2 linked regions of the Diceros bicornis minor genome follow. The protein of the gene in region 2 purifies or fractionates together with the protein of the main gene of each other region. This does not show direct contact. Links are inferred from orthologs where the notes say so. Each region holds a gene or a part of one and is shown on either strand. Other genes may lie near its edges.

Region 1 (7,477 bases), on a different chromosome or scaffold from region 2:
TTCAGCCTTTAGTCAGATGTAATTTTAGTTAAATAATTGTCACTAAAATGCAGGGCAATGTAATTTATGTCCACTCACTGGGATTTACTACTGAGTAAATATTTGGCCTTTTCTTTGCTTTTGTAGTTTTATCAGGATATCAAAAAATTACCTGTTTTCTCCCAATAAATTTATTTAAGCTAAATTTTATTTTATAAGCCATCCTTGTATTTGCCTTTATGAAACAGTGTGGATAATAAATGCTTCTTCATAGTATACTTCCTGTAATCATTTTGAATGAGGCACATGGTTTTGTTAAGCACTGAATGATGTCATTGCCTCAAGTTTATATGGGACATTTTATGAAATCATTCTGAATGAATGTTTGGACGGTTACCAAAGAGGCCTAGAAAGAAATGTTTTTCCTTTTTTTACACGCACTCTGGTGGTAGGAAATTCCCTTTTATTCATGAGCCTCCCCTAGCCTGAGACCTCAGGGACTTGGCCTTTTCTGACCTTTGAGAATGAGCTCCCCGGATATCAAGCCTCCCTTTGTCTGCAGTTACTGCATTACATTTGATTCCTGTTTGAGAATAAGTAATATGTGTGCGGACACATAGGAAGAAGCTACATGTAGCTTATCTGCCGTGAGTGTATGGGGAATACTCATTCTACAGGAAATGGAAATCCTAACCAGACCTCCTGGTGGTGAACCCCTTGCAGAGACGCTCGTAATCCTTGGTACCAGCTTCTTAGCGATCCCCTCTTTTAACTCTGTGACAAAGTTGAAATAGCTGTTTTTTATATTGGGTGAAGTGTAACTGCTCACTTTCAAAAATTTATGCATTTGAGGATTGAAAATAGATCTGATTATGGCAAGAGGATGTGACTCGTGTATTTTGTCAGGGTTGTCTATTAATATATGTGAGCCAGTGTTAAGGAAATTACTTGGAGTTCAAAACAGCTCTGGCTAGCCACTGTCAAGTGTTAAATGATATTTTGGCATTGCATAGTTGATAGCAGTTGCTTATGGTGTCTTTCTTGGATTAAATGTTTTCATCAAGATCTAATCTGTTGTCAGTGAGATCTTGAAACTAACACAGGTGCAAACTTATAACATCTCTGCAAAATGGGTATATTTGAATAGTTGTACAATGATTTCTGTTGTTTACATTGACTTTTTACAGTTAATTTTTGGAATAGATAAGGTATTAATATGGTTCAGAACTAAAAACTCTGAGAAGATACAAACTAACAAATCTCCCTCCCGCTCCACTCCCCCCACTTGGGGTCCCCATGGCTCTGAGTAGGTAGACGGCTGCATCCTCTCCTGGGTTCCTTTTCCAATATCTCTTTATGCAAACACAAGTAGATATTTCTATTTTCCTCCCTTTTTTACAGCAAGAATGTTTTCTTCATTTAACAGTACCTTGGACGTTTCTCCGGATCTGTACGTCAAGCTCTTCCTCATTTTCCCCCAGTGAGTGACTCTTGTAAGCAGATTGAAGGTGCATATCTGTGGAGAAATTATTGACATGAAGTTGTAAGAAAAGCACATTTACAATCTATAGCAACGTTTTTAAATAATACTTTGGAAATAAATAAAAATAGTAAAATTGAAAATAATAGAAGAAGTCTTTTCTGGAACCTTTCTAAGCATTCCAGTGGTTGGCTGTGGGTTGGCTCCCAGCCCAGCCGACTAGCGCAGGGACTGGACTAGCGCTGGGCCCCGGGGCCTGCATGCAGGCGGGAAGGCTTGTGTGCGAGTAGCTTGGAGTCACGTTTCCTCCTCCCTCTCCCTCTTATTGACCAGATTTTATTAAATCATTTGGAATTTTAGTTCTCTTACTGGGTTAACCAGATCTCTCTCTTTAAAAGAGTTTAGACTGTATGTGTACTCAAGTAAGAGAATGTGCTTAGAAGTGTGTGTTAAATGAGCATTTCATTTTTATTTTTCCAAGAAGAAAAGCTACCTAAAGAAAATAGCTTAACAATCCTGTAGAACATTCCAGTTTTCATCCTTATGTCTTCCCCACGTTCTGAATTAAAGTAGAGTCCTTCCTTACCATTCGTAAGAGAAGATAAAATGGATCTTTTACTGCAACGTTTCTGCTGTTGGTATTAAATAAAACAGCGTGATTCCAGTGTAGTGACTCTTCATGTTTTCTTTAGACCTCACAGCTACAGTGTCAGCAGTGTCCTGGGTCTCCTTCTCTGTTTACCACTCTTGTGTCTCTTGAGTTCCTTTTCTGGAATTCTTAAGCAGGCACCTCCCCACCCCACTCCAACAAAAGAGTGTAGGGGTGTCAGAATGTTGTTTTTCTTTTGCACTTGAGTAATAATCTTCACAATAGAATAGAATTCTATGAAAACAAAATACTTTAGAATTCTAGGAACAAAATACTTTTTTCTTGGAACTTTCAAAATACTGCTCCATTGTTTTCTAGTCTTGTTGATTCTGCTGTTAAGACCTTCTGTTGAGTTTGTAAATTTAGTAATTTAAATTTAATAATCTTCTGATTTCTGTGGACACTTCCTTGTTCTCTAGTAGGTCCTTTTTCTTGGCATTCTGTTTATTTTACCTGCTAGAATTGCTTTAAGGATACAAATCAGAATTTTTTTTAAGTTCTTTTCTGTTTCTGTGTTCTGTTTACTCAATCATTTTCCCGTAATTTTAATTCCCCCTAATTTACCCCTCACATGTCTTGTGATTGTTTGTTGTCCATTCATATATGAGGGCTGAAATCATATTTTAGTGGGTGTGTTTCCTCGGCAGTTAAGGTGGTTGCTGTTTCTCCAGCAGGATTCTCTTGTGAAAATTTTCATCACCCGCAAAAGTTCTTTTGTGCCTCTTTAATCAGACCTTCTCCAGACCTTGACAACCACTGATCTGTTTTCTGTGCCTATAATTTTGTCCTTGAATGTTATATAAATGCAATTAAACAACATTTGTAGCCTTTTGAGTCTGACTTCTTTCACTTAGCATGATGCTCTTTTAGAGTCATTGAGTAGTATTTCGTTGTGTAGACTACCACATCCACCACTTGATGGACATTTGGGTTGTTTCCAGCTTTTGGCGGTTATGAATAGAGCTGCTGTAAACATCAGCATACGGGGTTTTTTTGTGGACATAGGTCTTCAGTTCTCTTGGATAAGTACCTAGGAGTGGCATTGCTGGGTTGTATGGTAAGTAACTTTATAAGAACCTGCCAGACTCTTTTCCAGAGTGCCTGTAGCATTCTGCATCTGTATCAGCCACGTAGGGAGTTCCAGTTGCTTCACGTCCTTGCTGGCACTTGTGTTGTCAGACATATATTCTCCTAGTCTGTGGCTTGTCTTTTTAATTTTCTCCTAAGTTTTAAGGTTTACATCTAGACTTAAAGATCTTTATCTGCCGTGGAACTGTAAAGAATACTAGTCAGCAGTGTCATTTCTTCACACACACCTCACCCTGACCTCTCTTCTGCTTCCTTTTCACTTAAAAGATACCTTTCCCTTCCAGTGCTTGGTGTTGTGCCTAAGTGACTTTAATATAAGCTTTACCCCCAGGTTGGAGATGATAAGACAGTTTAAGCTCACTGAGCTCACAGTGAAAGTGTTTCAGAAGACCATTTCTAGATTGTTTTGGGACTCTCCTTATTTTCACCATTACTATCAGTGCACAGTTTCTTTGTGGACTTTTGGAAGTATATGTAAATATTTTATGAAGATATTTTGGTTTTAAATCTGTATTTACAGTCTTGGTAGCTATTGCCAAAGAGCCTTCCAGAAATATTTTCCCCAGAAATATCAGTGCCTTCTTACCGATAGGGTACGAGAGTTAGTTGCCATTTATTCACATTTATGGTAATAGTGGGTATTATCCATTTGTATAATAATAAGCTATTGGTTATATGTGAATCACATGCTTGTAGATTTCCCTCCAAGTTACTGGACTATCGGCTCCATTAGAGTGGAGGAATCACAACTCTGCTGTACCATTTTTATCCCCGGTGCCAATGATCGTGCGTGGCACTTAGTAGGCTCTAAATGTTATGGAGTAAGTGAATGAGTAACTAGCGAGTGATTTTCTGTTGTAGAAATCTAGGCATACTGATTCCTTGTCTAGGACTTATTTCTTGAAGAACTGTTAGGCAGTTGCCAAACTTGCTTCCATGTAGTTTAGCCAGTTGTTTTTCCATCAAGTCACATTTAGAATTCTCTGAAATGAGGATTCACAACTGTGCTTGTGTCTATTGAATAATGTTTATCTGTGCGTCATGTTCCAGTACACTTTTAAGATAAAAATCACATATATTTTTAAAGATCATTCATCAGGATCATTAACATTTTGCTCTTTTGGATTTCCCTATCTCCCCATTTGAACCACATTTTCTGCTTTTCTTTAGTATGTATGGCAGAGAAAACTGAAAAGGAGGTAATGACATGAGTCAGCAGAAAGGTAAATGGAACAACTGGAAATGTTTGTGAACCAAAAAAATTCTCCTGCAAGCAGGACTCTGCTTGTAAGTTTGGTGTACAAAATCGACCTATTTCAAAATAAGCTTTATCAACTTGAGTTTTCTTTGACAATTTATGGAGAAGGCTAAGTAGTATTTTCATGTTTGTAATTGGAAAATACTACACCTAGAAATCTCAGTTTGCAGACCCTTGTTTTGTTTAACCGAGAAAGGGTCTTGGGGATTCTGGCCCAAATATTTCATAGGATTATTATAATATATAGCATTTTTTCCAAAAGTATATAATTTGTGCATTTTATGTGATCAGTGATTCTCTTTTTTTCAGTATATTTTTGGAGATTTTAGCCCTGATGAATTCAATCAGTTCTTTGTGACTCCTCGCTGTTCAGTTGAGGTAAGACAAAACTTTGTTTTGTTGAGTATATGTGTAGATAAAATTAATGGTTGTTTTACTTTTTATTAATTTATGCTTTTTGATAAAGAATTCAAGTGTACAGAAAAGTGCAGAGACTAATATGAGAAATGCCTGAACCCACCAACCAGATTTGACTAATATTAACATTTTGCTATATTTATAAATGGCAAAACATTACAGATACAGTTGAAGCCTCCATTGTACCCCTCTCCTGTCTCATTCCCTTCTTCCCCAGAAATAACAACTCGGCTAAAATTGGTAAGTTTTTTTTCCTGGCTATGGTTTTTGCCTTTTATTACATATACCTGTGTTGTGTAGCAACAGATAGTACGTTGTATTGTTTTATGTGGTTTAAAATGTCACATAAATGGTTTCATATTATATTCATCATTTTGTAGTTTTTTATTTTAAGCTAACGTATTCTTTAGATTTATTTATGCAGATACATTTTGTTCTTGTTCTTTGATTTTAATTGCTAAATACCATTGGTGGAACATACCATGATTTATTTACCTTTTTTTCTGTTGAAGACCATTTAGGTCTTTAGTTCTTCCACTATTACAAAAATGTTGCGATAAACATATTTTGTCATGTCTCCTCATGCTCCTCTGTGTTTCTCCAGAATATATTCCTAGGGATGGAATTGCTGGGTTCTGCAATTTCTGTCTCTAGTTTTACTAGAGACAGCTGATGTTCTTTTTAAGTGGTTTTAACAGTCTCCGTTCCCATCAACAGTGCACAAGAGTTTTCTTGATCTTATTTTTTTTTTTTTAATTCTTGGTAATTCTCAGTATAGGCATATATAAAATTTTTGTTAACCTGATGGGTAATAAATGGATTCTCATTGTTTTAATTTACATTCCCAGATTACAAAGAGTTGAGCACTATTTCATTATTTTCATATGTCCATTGGCAGTATAGACTTCTGCTTCTATGAATTATCCCGTCTGTATCCCTTGTCCGTATTTTTTATCAAATGGCATATCTTTTTTCTTATTGATTTATAGGAGTAATAATCTTCGGTTTTGCATATTATGGGTATCTCTTCCTGGCATGAGGGCTTTTAAACTTCATATGTGATGCTTTTTTTCTTTTTTTTGGTGGGTAAGGGCAGTGCATTTTTATCTTTATAATGTCAAATACATTGATTTTTTTTTTCCTCATGGTTTGTGGATTTTTGGTTTTTAATAAAATATCTTTAAGAAATTCTTCTCTTCCCTGAGGTAATAAAGACATTTGTTTTCTTCTAAAAGTTTTAAGGTTTTTGTTTTCACTTTAGTATGTAATATAACTGAAATTGAGGTACTGATTTGTGTGTGTCAGGTAGGGATCTAACTTCCTCTCCCCCATGGCAGTGTGAGTGGCACTGAGAACTCAGCCCTTATTTGTAGTGCCCCCGCGTCAGGTCGCACATCTCCATATATGCTCAGTTGGTTGTGGGTCCCCTGTTGTGTGGGCCTTTTGCTTTATCTCTGTATCAATACCCCATGTTTTAATTGCTTCAGCTTTATAATCAGTCTGATGGTAGGACACACACCCTCTTCTTATACTTACAAGTATTTTGGCTCTCCTTCATCCTTAACTCTTTCTTAGGAATTTATGATCAGTATGTCAAGTTTCATGAAAAATCCTATTGAAATTTCAGTTGAAATTGCATTAAAATTATAGATAATTTGTAGGAGAATTAACATCTTTATGATAGGTTTTCTAAACATGATTGTGGTGTATTTCTCCATTCATTGAGGTCTTCTTGTATGTCCACTCCTTATGTGATTAATGGTTTCTGTTTTAGTTTAGTAAAAACTTATTTGGAACATTTTTCAGCTTTATGTTTTAAATATGAAAACTGTTTAAATTGCTTTGAAAAGGAAAAAAGGGGGGAGAAGTAAGTACATCAAGTTAAATCTTAGTTAACTTTTAGATCCCTTAATTTTAAGATTTTATTTATTTATTTTTCCCCCAAAGCCCCAGTAGATAGTTGTATGTCATAGCTGCACATCCTTCTAGTTGCTGTATGTGGGACACGGCCTCAGCATGGCCGGAGAAGCGGTGCATCGGTGAGCGCCCGGGATCCGAACCCGGGCCGCCAGCATCGGAGCACGCGCACTTAACCGCTAAGCCACGGGGCCGGCCCTAGATCCCTTAATTTTAGAACCCCTGATAGAGATACACAGTTGTCTGTTGGCACATGTATTAAATATTTATGTAGGGAGTTCTGTTATTTGATAAAATGGGGTAGGAGAAGCTGACTTCTTAGCATAGGAGTCAAAGGCCAGGGTTGGGGTCTGAGTGGGCCACTTACATGTGACCTTGGCAAGTCCTTCCCTCTTCACCTTGACTGCTTCAATTCTAAATTTTTTTTTAGGGTTGTGGAGGTAGGGTTAAATGAGAACATACTGAAAGCAGTATTTACACTATACAGATGTAGGAAAGATTTGTTACTTGTTTTCTTCTCCTTCACTTTAGGAAAAAGAAGGAAATCAAAGAAAATAAAGCTTATATTACATTTCATTTTAGAAAATGGGTAAATTCAGTTCAGCGTCATCTCTATCTCTTGTGCTCATTGATGTTAACAGTTATGATTTTAAGGAATCTGAGGATATGAGCTAGGAAATAGTGAAAG
Region 2 (7,836 bases):
CCGACATCTATGAGGGTTTTAAGGCGGAGAATGTGGCTAAGAGCTCAAGAAGCTGGCTGCCAACTGCTGGCTGCCAACTGCTGGCTGCCCAGCAGGGGTGGGCCACCCTAGTCCCCCTAGGGTCACTCGTGTCAAGGATCCGCCCAGCCTCCCAGGATGGAGTTTAGGCCCTGGCTGGGACCCAGCTGGCTCCCGGCCACTGGACCGAGAGAACCTAGGGTCTGCTGAGGTAGGCTCGGGTGTAAAACCAAGAAAAGGGCCTCCCTCCTACACCCTGGGGCTTACGAATCACCAGGCCTTTGGGGGAGTGCCAATGTCATCATGACACAGCAAGAATCTTATCAGCCCAAGGGGGAAGGCAGCCCAGAAACGTCCGGAGGAGAGGGAGGGCCTGAGCACCCATCGAGCCCATAGCCCTTGTGGCCCAAGTGGGGAGACTGAAGCCCAGAGAGGCGAGGGGCTCACTGCGGACCCTGCAGGGAGTCAATCCTGCCCAGTGGACTCCCAGTCCTGGTCTCTCTTTCTCTCACTCCTATTCCTCTCTCCACTCCCTGAGGTGGGGAGAATCGCTGAGCCCGCTGGTCGAGTCCTATCAGATGGGGGAGGACATGATCTGCCAGGCCCAAGGTTCCTCCCCCCATGCTGGTCTGTAAGGAGAAACCGGTTTCCTTCATTCCAAGGCTTTCTGGACTAGGATAGTAAGTACCTCCACTCCCTTCCTGGCTGGGGGTGGGAGTCCTAAGGAGGGCGGAAGTGGCCACATAGCAGGGGGAACAGAGAGCAGCTCAAAGCCCATTGGGTAACTCTGTGAGCCAGCATCAGGAGGCCCTGAGGAAGGAAGCTGGGCGTGCCGCTGAGGGTTGGGTAAGTGGAAGAGGAGGAGGAAGGGGCAGAGAATGGCCACGTGGGCCCAGCCTGCCCCACTTGGGGCTCTGTGTCTGCTCTTCCCTTTGTGTGGTGTGCTCCCCGCCGGCCTTGGCTCTGCAGGCCTCTCTGCAGGCCCTCTTCATGAGACCTGTGTGCTGGGGGGCTGGGGACACAGGATCCTGTCTGCGTCTTCTGTCACATGCTCCACTCTGAACTCTTCTTAGGCTAACTCACCTTAGGTCCTGGCCCCCACCACAGAGGCCCCAAGAAGAGGGCAGGGCCCATGCTCGCTGTGCTGCAGGGGAGGCACTTGGTCAGCATTTGTTGGATGGAGGAAGAGAGACCTCACTGGTCTCCCATAGCAGCAGGTTCTGGTAGAGTGCGCCCCCAGCACTACTCTGCCCACCTCCTACCCAGACGAAGGAGACAGTGAGGCAGTGGAGGCCAGACTGTGGGAGCTGTTCTAGGTGCTGCCTGAGCGTGGGCGGCCCACCCTCTCCAGCCCCCTGGAGTAGAAGGGAAAAACAAACAAGGAGGCTCTTCTTCAGAGAACCCTTGCTCTCCCCCACTCGACCCTGCTGGAGCAGCACTTCCCATTTCTGCTCTGGAAGCCTCCGGTTGTCACTCCAGAGCAAAGGAGAGCAAAGGGAAACCCTACTCATTGCAAAGAAACAAAGTTGCCCAACCCCAAGCTGGCCACAGGCAAAGGCAGTGAGGACTCACAGAATCAGCTTGGTAGAGCCCGAGGACCTTCGGCACTTGTTTCAAAAGCCCTGGTTTGCTATGGAAACACTGAGGTTCAGAGAAGGGAAGACACTTGCCCTAGGTCACACAGCAAGCTTGGATGCTCTCAATGGGGCACTTAAGAGTTGAGGGCCTGGAGTCACACGCCATTTCTTGCGGCCTGGCATGCTCTGTAGGAGCATCCTGTGATAGGCTGGCATGGAGACGAGGGAAGGAGGAAAAATAATCCTGAGTTACTTTCTCTACCAACCTATTTCTTGGACAAAGGACCTAATGGTCAGAGTCCTAGGTGTTAAGGTCTGTGGCCAACAGAGGTATGGCTCCTCCAAGGGGATGCGGCTGAGGCCAGGGTAGAGGCCAAGCGTGTCCCCTGTCTGCTCCTCCTGGGTACAGGGCATCAGAAGACACTGCTTGGGGCAGCCCTCCCTTCCCTCCTACTGGCAGAGTCCTTCTACCCTGTACTGCCTCCTGCTCTGCATTCTGGCTCTCCTTTTCCAAGTCTGGATCAGAATCCCAAAGTTTCCAGGGAGTAGACTCTGCAAAGGGTGGTGGCAGGTTATGATATATGAACAAAGAACCAAGTTCCTCCAGAGCTGAAGGGACTGTGCTGTGGTAGGCACAGAGAGATAAGACCTGCCCTGTCAAGAACTCTCTAACTTTGGTGGAACTCTTGCTCAAGATTACACAGTAAGTTACTGGCAGAGGTGATTATACAATGGTTAGCAGGTTCTTGGTCATGTCCAGGGTTAAAAGTGAGAAGAAACCACTTTTCTTCAAGATGAAACCCTGGCAGCTCATCTCAGCAGCCCCTGCACATGTCTGGCCACCTGGCAAATCTCGTTTCCACACGGTACGCCGGGAAGTGCTTTAGTCTGAGGGTCATGGCTTGACTAGGACCCACTCTCCCTCTCCTGTGCCCACTTGCCATCACAAACCGTCACTGTGCTTCTACTCTATCAGAGCAAAATGGGGCAAAGAGACAATGCTCAAAGAAAGGTCGAGTGTTTGTCCCCAGGGAACTTGATGTGGTAGAGAAAGACAAGGTGGAGATCGGGCCTCAGAACCTGCCTCTGGAACTAACTCACTGTGTGACATCTGTCAAGTCACAAACAGGTTTGAGAAAAACACTCACAGAATGACTAGGCTCCCTGTTTGCATTTCAGTGTTCTCCGTGGAGAAGGACTTCCGGGCTCCAGGACAGTCAATGGCTGTCCTATTAATGTATATAGTCAATGGCTGTGCGTGGACTTCGGAAATGCCTCCTAACGTGTATATACCGTATGGTGCTGGGATGATAGTGGCACACAGGCAGGAGCAAGACGGAGAGCCCAACCAAGCAGAGCCCACGTGGCCCAACAACAGTCAGTTGGGAAAGCCCAGGCATTGAGCAGGAAGGGACCTTAAGCAATGTCATGCTCTAAGTGTGGGTTTTAAGATGATGGTCCTCGGGGAGACTCACCGATGCACCCATGATGATGAAGATATGTGTATCGGACTGATGGAAGGCATCACCTTGGTACAGCTCTTCCCGCAGGATCCCGCACACCTGGGTCCGGCTCAGGGCCACCTGTTCTGCCATGATGCTCTCTGGTGGAAGAAAGGCTCATTGACAAGGCACAAGAACATCAGAGCATTGAGAAGATAGCCCCTTTCTCGAGGAGTCGTTTGGGCTCTCACCCAGCTGACGCCTGATTATTGAAACCACTCGCTGTGAATGGCCAGGGAGCAGGATGGTTGGGAAGTAAGAAACTGCTGGCTCTGGGCTTCAGCCATACTCCCCAAGCAGCCTTCTTTCACGGTGTACAATACAAAATTGCCCAAAGCCCTAGTGGATTCCAGCTAGAGCCTCAATTCTGAGGGACCAAGCAAAACCCTGCTGGACATCGCATGACCTGCCTAGGTCCATCGCACCCCGGACTCAGGCAGAAACTCCACAATGAGCTGGAGCATGTTAGACCGTGCAGATGATGGAGTGCAGCTCCAGCTCTCTTTCTGCCAGGCTGAGACCCTGGCAAGTCCTCTCGAGATCTCAGTCTCCTCAGGGTTCCAACGGCAGGGATGCAGGGGGGGCAGTGGGATCGGTTAAGGCCGTCTCGGTTTTGCCCCCGCTCCCAAGCATGGCAAATCAAAGGGCCTAAGGTGCCGCACATCCCTCCCTCCGCCGGCGCGGCGCCCGCCCACTCCCTTACCTGCACCTTACCGCCGCCGCCCGTCGCACTCGCAGCCCCGGAGTTTCAGCCGTTTCCGGGGGCTGTGCCCCGCCGGCCCACTTAATCAGCGGGGGCGGGCGCCTGGTCTCAGCCGACCCGCCTCAGGCGAGGCGCGCGGGCGGTGCCCCCACAGGCCCCTCCCTCCAGGGGCGGGGCCCGGTGAGGGAGCAGGCAAGTGCGCGCGCATCCCAGGCTGGCCCCCGCGCGAGGCCCCCCCGCCCTTGGCTCGCCCCGCCTCTTGGGCACCTGCACCGGCCGCCCGGCCGCGGGCCGCCTGCTGTACCCGCCGCCGCTGAGCCGCGTCCCGGATGCGTCGCGGTTCCGCGTGCAGCTCCGCGCCGTTCGCCCGAGTCCCCATCACCGGCTCGGCTCAGCCCCGCCCCTACAGGCCGGCTTTCTCGCAGGCCCCAGGCGGCCCTACACCCTCGCGGAAGGCTCCACTTCCGCTGGCAGCGTGGCCACGCCTCCTTGACCCAGGCTATAGGCGGGGCCATCTGAGCCCCGCCCTCTCACCGGACGGTCGCCCGCTCGGTCAGACCGGCCCTGTTGGGCAGCCTCGTCGTGGCTCCTCCCCTTGCGGGGCCGAGGCAGCCGAGCACGCGGAGGCTGGATGCTGTAGACCGAGGGACAAGGGGCAGTGTGGGTCGTGACGCCCCGAAAAGTAGCAGGTGGTGGATATCACTGGGGAGCCTCCTGCAGGCCGACCGAGACTGGTGGGCTCGGGCTTCCCTCTGGAGCAGCCTCCCTAGTACTTCTCGCGGGCCTCCTGGGCGGGGGCGGGGCTTCCCTGTTTTACTTCCGGATCCCACAGTACGACACCGGAAGCAGGAAGTGGGGATTTCGGCAGCGGGAGGAGGGAAAGGCGACCGCGGAACTGGGACTTTCTCGGAGGGACGGGGCCCGAGGAGCGCTCGTGGCCTGTCGCTTCTGTCCATCTCACGTCGGACCGATTCTGCTGACAGGTGTGGTCCTCTTCCCCGAAGGCAGGGTACCATCACTGGGCGTTCCACCGCCTCTGAGACTCTCCCGGACGTCCAGGCTTTTCTCTCCTTTTGGGCCCCCGCCCATTTCTGCCACCCGCATCTAGAGCACCGGCCAAGGCGGGGCGATGCAGGATCAGGTTTCTTTGGCGGTGAGCAGGACTGTTCCTGCCTCTCCCTCCACCGCCGCTGTGGAGTCTGATCACACCCCTATTTCGTGGGTGACTCTTCTAGTTCGAAGATATTTTCTGTTCATCAAACTTGACTGTATTTGAGGTTGTTAAGTTCTTTAGAAAGACCTCAAATATAGTTTGGCAGCTAAGTATCTTACCTCATGTGCCTCAGTTTGCTCACTTTGCAAAACGATTAATGTCTACCGAATCTCATACCATTTCTGTGATTTGAGGATGAATGGGCCGTCGTGGCACATTGGAGGAAAAGCTGGAGCAGAGTGAGCAAGGGGAGAATACTTGGAGAGGAAGCAGTGGGGGACCAGATGGTGCAGGGCCTTGTAGGCCGTCAAAGAGACTGGCTTTTACATGGAGGACAATGAGGAACCATGGTATGGATCTGAGTAGAGGAGGGACGTGATCGTAATTACTTTTTAGGCTTATTGTTCTGGCCTCGGTGGGGAGAACAGACTGTAGTAGGCAAGGATAGGAGCAGGGTGATCTGTTAAGAGGTTATTGCAGTAATCCAGGTGAGAGTTGATGGTGCTTTGAGCATTTTATTATGAAAATTTACAAAGATGCACAAAAGTAGAAAGACTAGTATGGTAAATCCCGTGGAACCACCTCCGGGCTTCAACAGTTACCAACTCATGGCTAATTTTAATTTATATCCCTCACAATTGTCTCCCATTATTCTTTTCAATAACAATTTTATTGAGATATAATTCACATACCACACAATTCACCCATTTAAAGTGTACAATTCACTGGTTTTTAGTGTATTCACGGAGTTGTGCAACCATCACTACTAATTCCAGAACATTTTCATCACTCTAAAAAGAAACTCCGTACCCTGTGGCTATCACCCACATCACCCTGTCTCCCCCAGCTCTAAGCATCCACTAATCTTTCTGTCTCTATAGATAATTTTCCTATTCTGGACATTTCATATAAATGGAATTACACACTGTGTGGTCTTTTGTGAATTGTTTCTCTCTGCAATGTTTGTCCATGTGAATGTAGTAGATTTTGTTTATTCCTCAGTTGATGGACATTTGGGTTGTTTCCACTCTTTGGCTGTTATGAGTAACGCTGCTGTGAGCATTCATGTGTAGACATGTGTTTTCATTTCTTTTGCATAGATACCTAGGAGTTCCCCCATTATTTTGAAGTGAATTTCAGACACCACCTGACAGTGTTTCAGTATGCATCTCTAAGAAAATATTTAAAAAATCATAGCTAAAATACCACTCTCACACCTGAAATAGTTAACATTAATTGTTTAGTGTCATCAAATAGATTCTGGGATACATTTTAACATTTTTTTTAAACTTTATTTTTCCCCCCAAATCCCCAGTAGATAGTTGCATGTCATAGCTGCATATCCTTCTAGTTGCTGCATGTGGGACTCGGCCTCAGCATGGCCGGAGAAGCGGTGCGTTGGTGCGCCGCCGGGATCTGAACCTGGGCTGCCAGCAGCCCAGCAGCGGAGTGCACGCACTTAACCGCTAAGCCATGGGGCTGGCCCCTGGGATACATTTTGACAGGATTTCCTGATGGATTAGATGTGAGCTGAGAGAGAGAGGGAGAGAGGGAGAGAGGGAGAGAGGGAGAGGGGGATGGACGGAGGGAGGGAGGGAGGAGTCAAGAAGGACTCCGAGGTTTTTGTCCTGATAACTGGAGGATGGATTGGCCACCAGCTGACAGTAAGGTAGGCTGTGGGTGGTCCTGGCTTTGGGGGACTCGCAGGAGTGCAGTGTTGAAAAGGTTAGTTTTAAGAGGACTACTAGATGCCCAGGTGGAGATGTTGAGTCTGATACGTGAGTCTGGAGTCCAGGAAACAGGTCTAATTTTAGGGCATCAAGAGCATTAGAATGGGGGTTAAAGCTGTGAGGCTGGATGGAATTAGTCCTGGAGTGACTGTAGTTAGAGAAGAGATCCCAGAACAGAGCCCTGGAGCACCACAACGTGAAGGGATGTGTTGATGAGGAGGATCCACTGCAGGAGCAGCCAGTGAAGTAGGAGGAAAACCAGGAGAGTGGGCTGTTCTGTAAGCTGAGGGAGGGGTCAGTGGTTGGTTAAATACTGCTGATGGGTTAGTGGGGTGTTGAGGATCAGTGTCATAGTCAAACGTCCAAGTTTATTCAGTGTTCAAAGTCTCCTTCCTCAGCTCAGGCCTGCTCCTGGAAACTTGTATTTGGATTGTCCACCTCCTCCAGGTAGTCAGTCTTCTTGGGCAGGATTTAAAAGGGCTCTAGGCTGGTGCTGTCCCACGTGGGCTGCCTCTATTCTAGTTCAGAAGAGAACGCAAACAGCCTGTCTCTCTGCTCTGCTGTCTTAGTCTGCGAGGCCAGCTCTCACTTTCAGATTACTTAGCACATGTCAGATACTAGATGTCCCCTTCGGCCCCCCAGTTCCAGGGAACACTGATCAGATTCTGCGTGGTCTCTTCAAAGCCCCTCTGACTAGATCTATTAATTTCTTAGGGCTGCTGTAAGAGATGACCACAAGCTGGGGGCTTAAAACAATAGAAATTTCTCCTTTCCCAGTGCTTGAGGCCAGAAGTTTGAAATCAAGGTGTTGGCAGAGCTGTGCTCCCTCTGGAGGCTCTAAGGGAGGACCCTTCCTGCCTCTTCCAGCTTCTGGGGGCCCCAGGTGTTCCTCGGCTTGTGGCCACATCCCTCCAGTATCTGCCTCTGTTTTCACGTGGCCTTCTCCTCTGTGTCTGGATCTCCTCTTCCATCTCTTATGAGGACACTTGTCATTGCATTTAGGGCCCACCCTACTCCAGGATGATCTCATCTCAAGATCCTCATTTAATTACATCTCCAAAGACCGTTTATCCAAATAAGGTTGCATTCACAG

Evidence for each region.
Region 1: the proteins of IKBKG (region 2) and USP10 purify together in Homo sapiens (affinity purification with western blotting; 3 studies listed by BioGRID and IntAct, with this or other methods). This does not show direct contact. The link is inferred for Diceros bicornis minor from reciprocal best matches to the Homo sapiens genes IKBKG and USP10.

Annotation. Positions count from the first base shown.
Region 1 is NC_080771.1:33,698,296-33,705,772, forward strand, and holds the start of USP10 (ubiquitin carboxyl-terminal hydrolase 10), read left to right. Parts: upstream 1-4,428; 5' UTR 4,429-4,439; coding exon 4,440-4,484; intron 4,485-4,764; coding exon 4,765-4,833; intron 4,834-7,477. UniProt on the Homo sapiens protein: Hydrolase that can remove conjugated ubiquitin from target proteins such as p53/TP53, RPS2/us5, RPS3/us3, RPS10/eS10, BECN1, SNX3 and CFTR.
Region 2 is NC_080781.1:138,464,723-138,472,558, forward strand, and holds the start of IKBKG (NF-kappa-B essential modulator), read left to right. Parts: upstream 1-4,808; 5' UTR 4,809-5,360; coding exon 5,361-5,363; intron 5,364-7,836. Other genes in the region: G6PD (glucose-6-phosphate 1-dehydrogenase), read right to left, coding at 3,071-3,198, 4,068-4,179. UniProt on the Homo sapiens protein: Regulatory subunit of the IKK core complex which phosphorylates inhibitors of NF-kappa-B thus leading to the dissociation of the inhibitor/NF-kappa-B complex and ultimately the degradation of the inhibitor.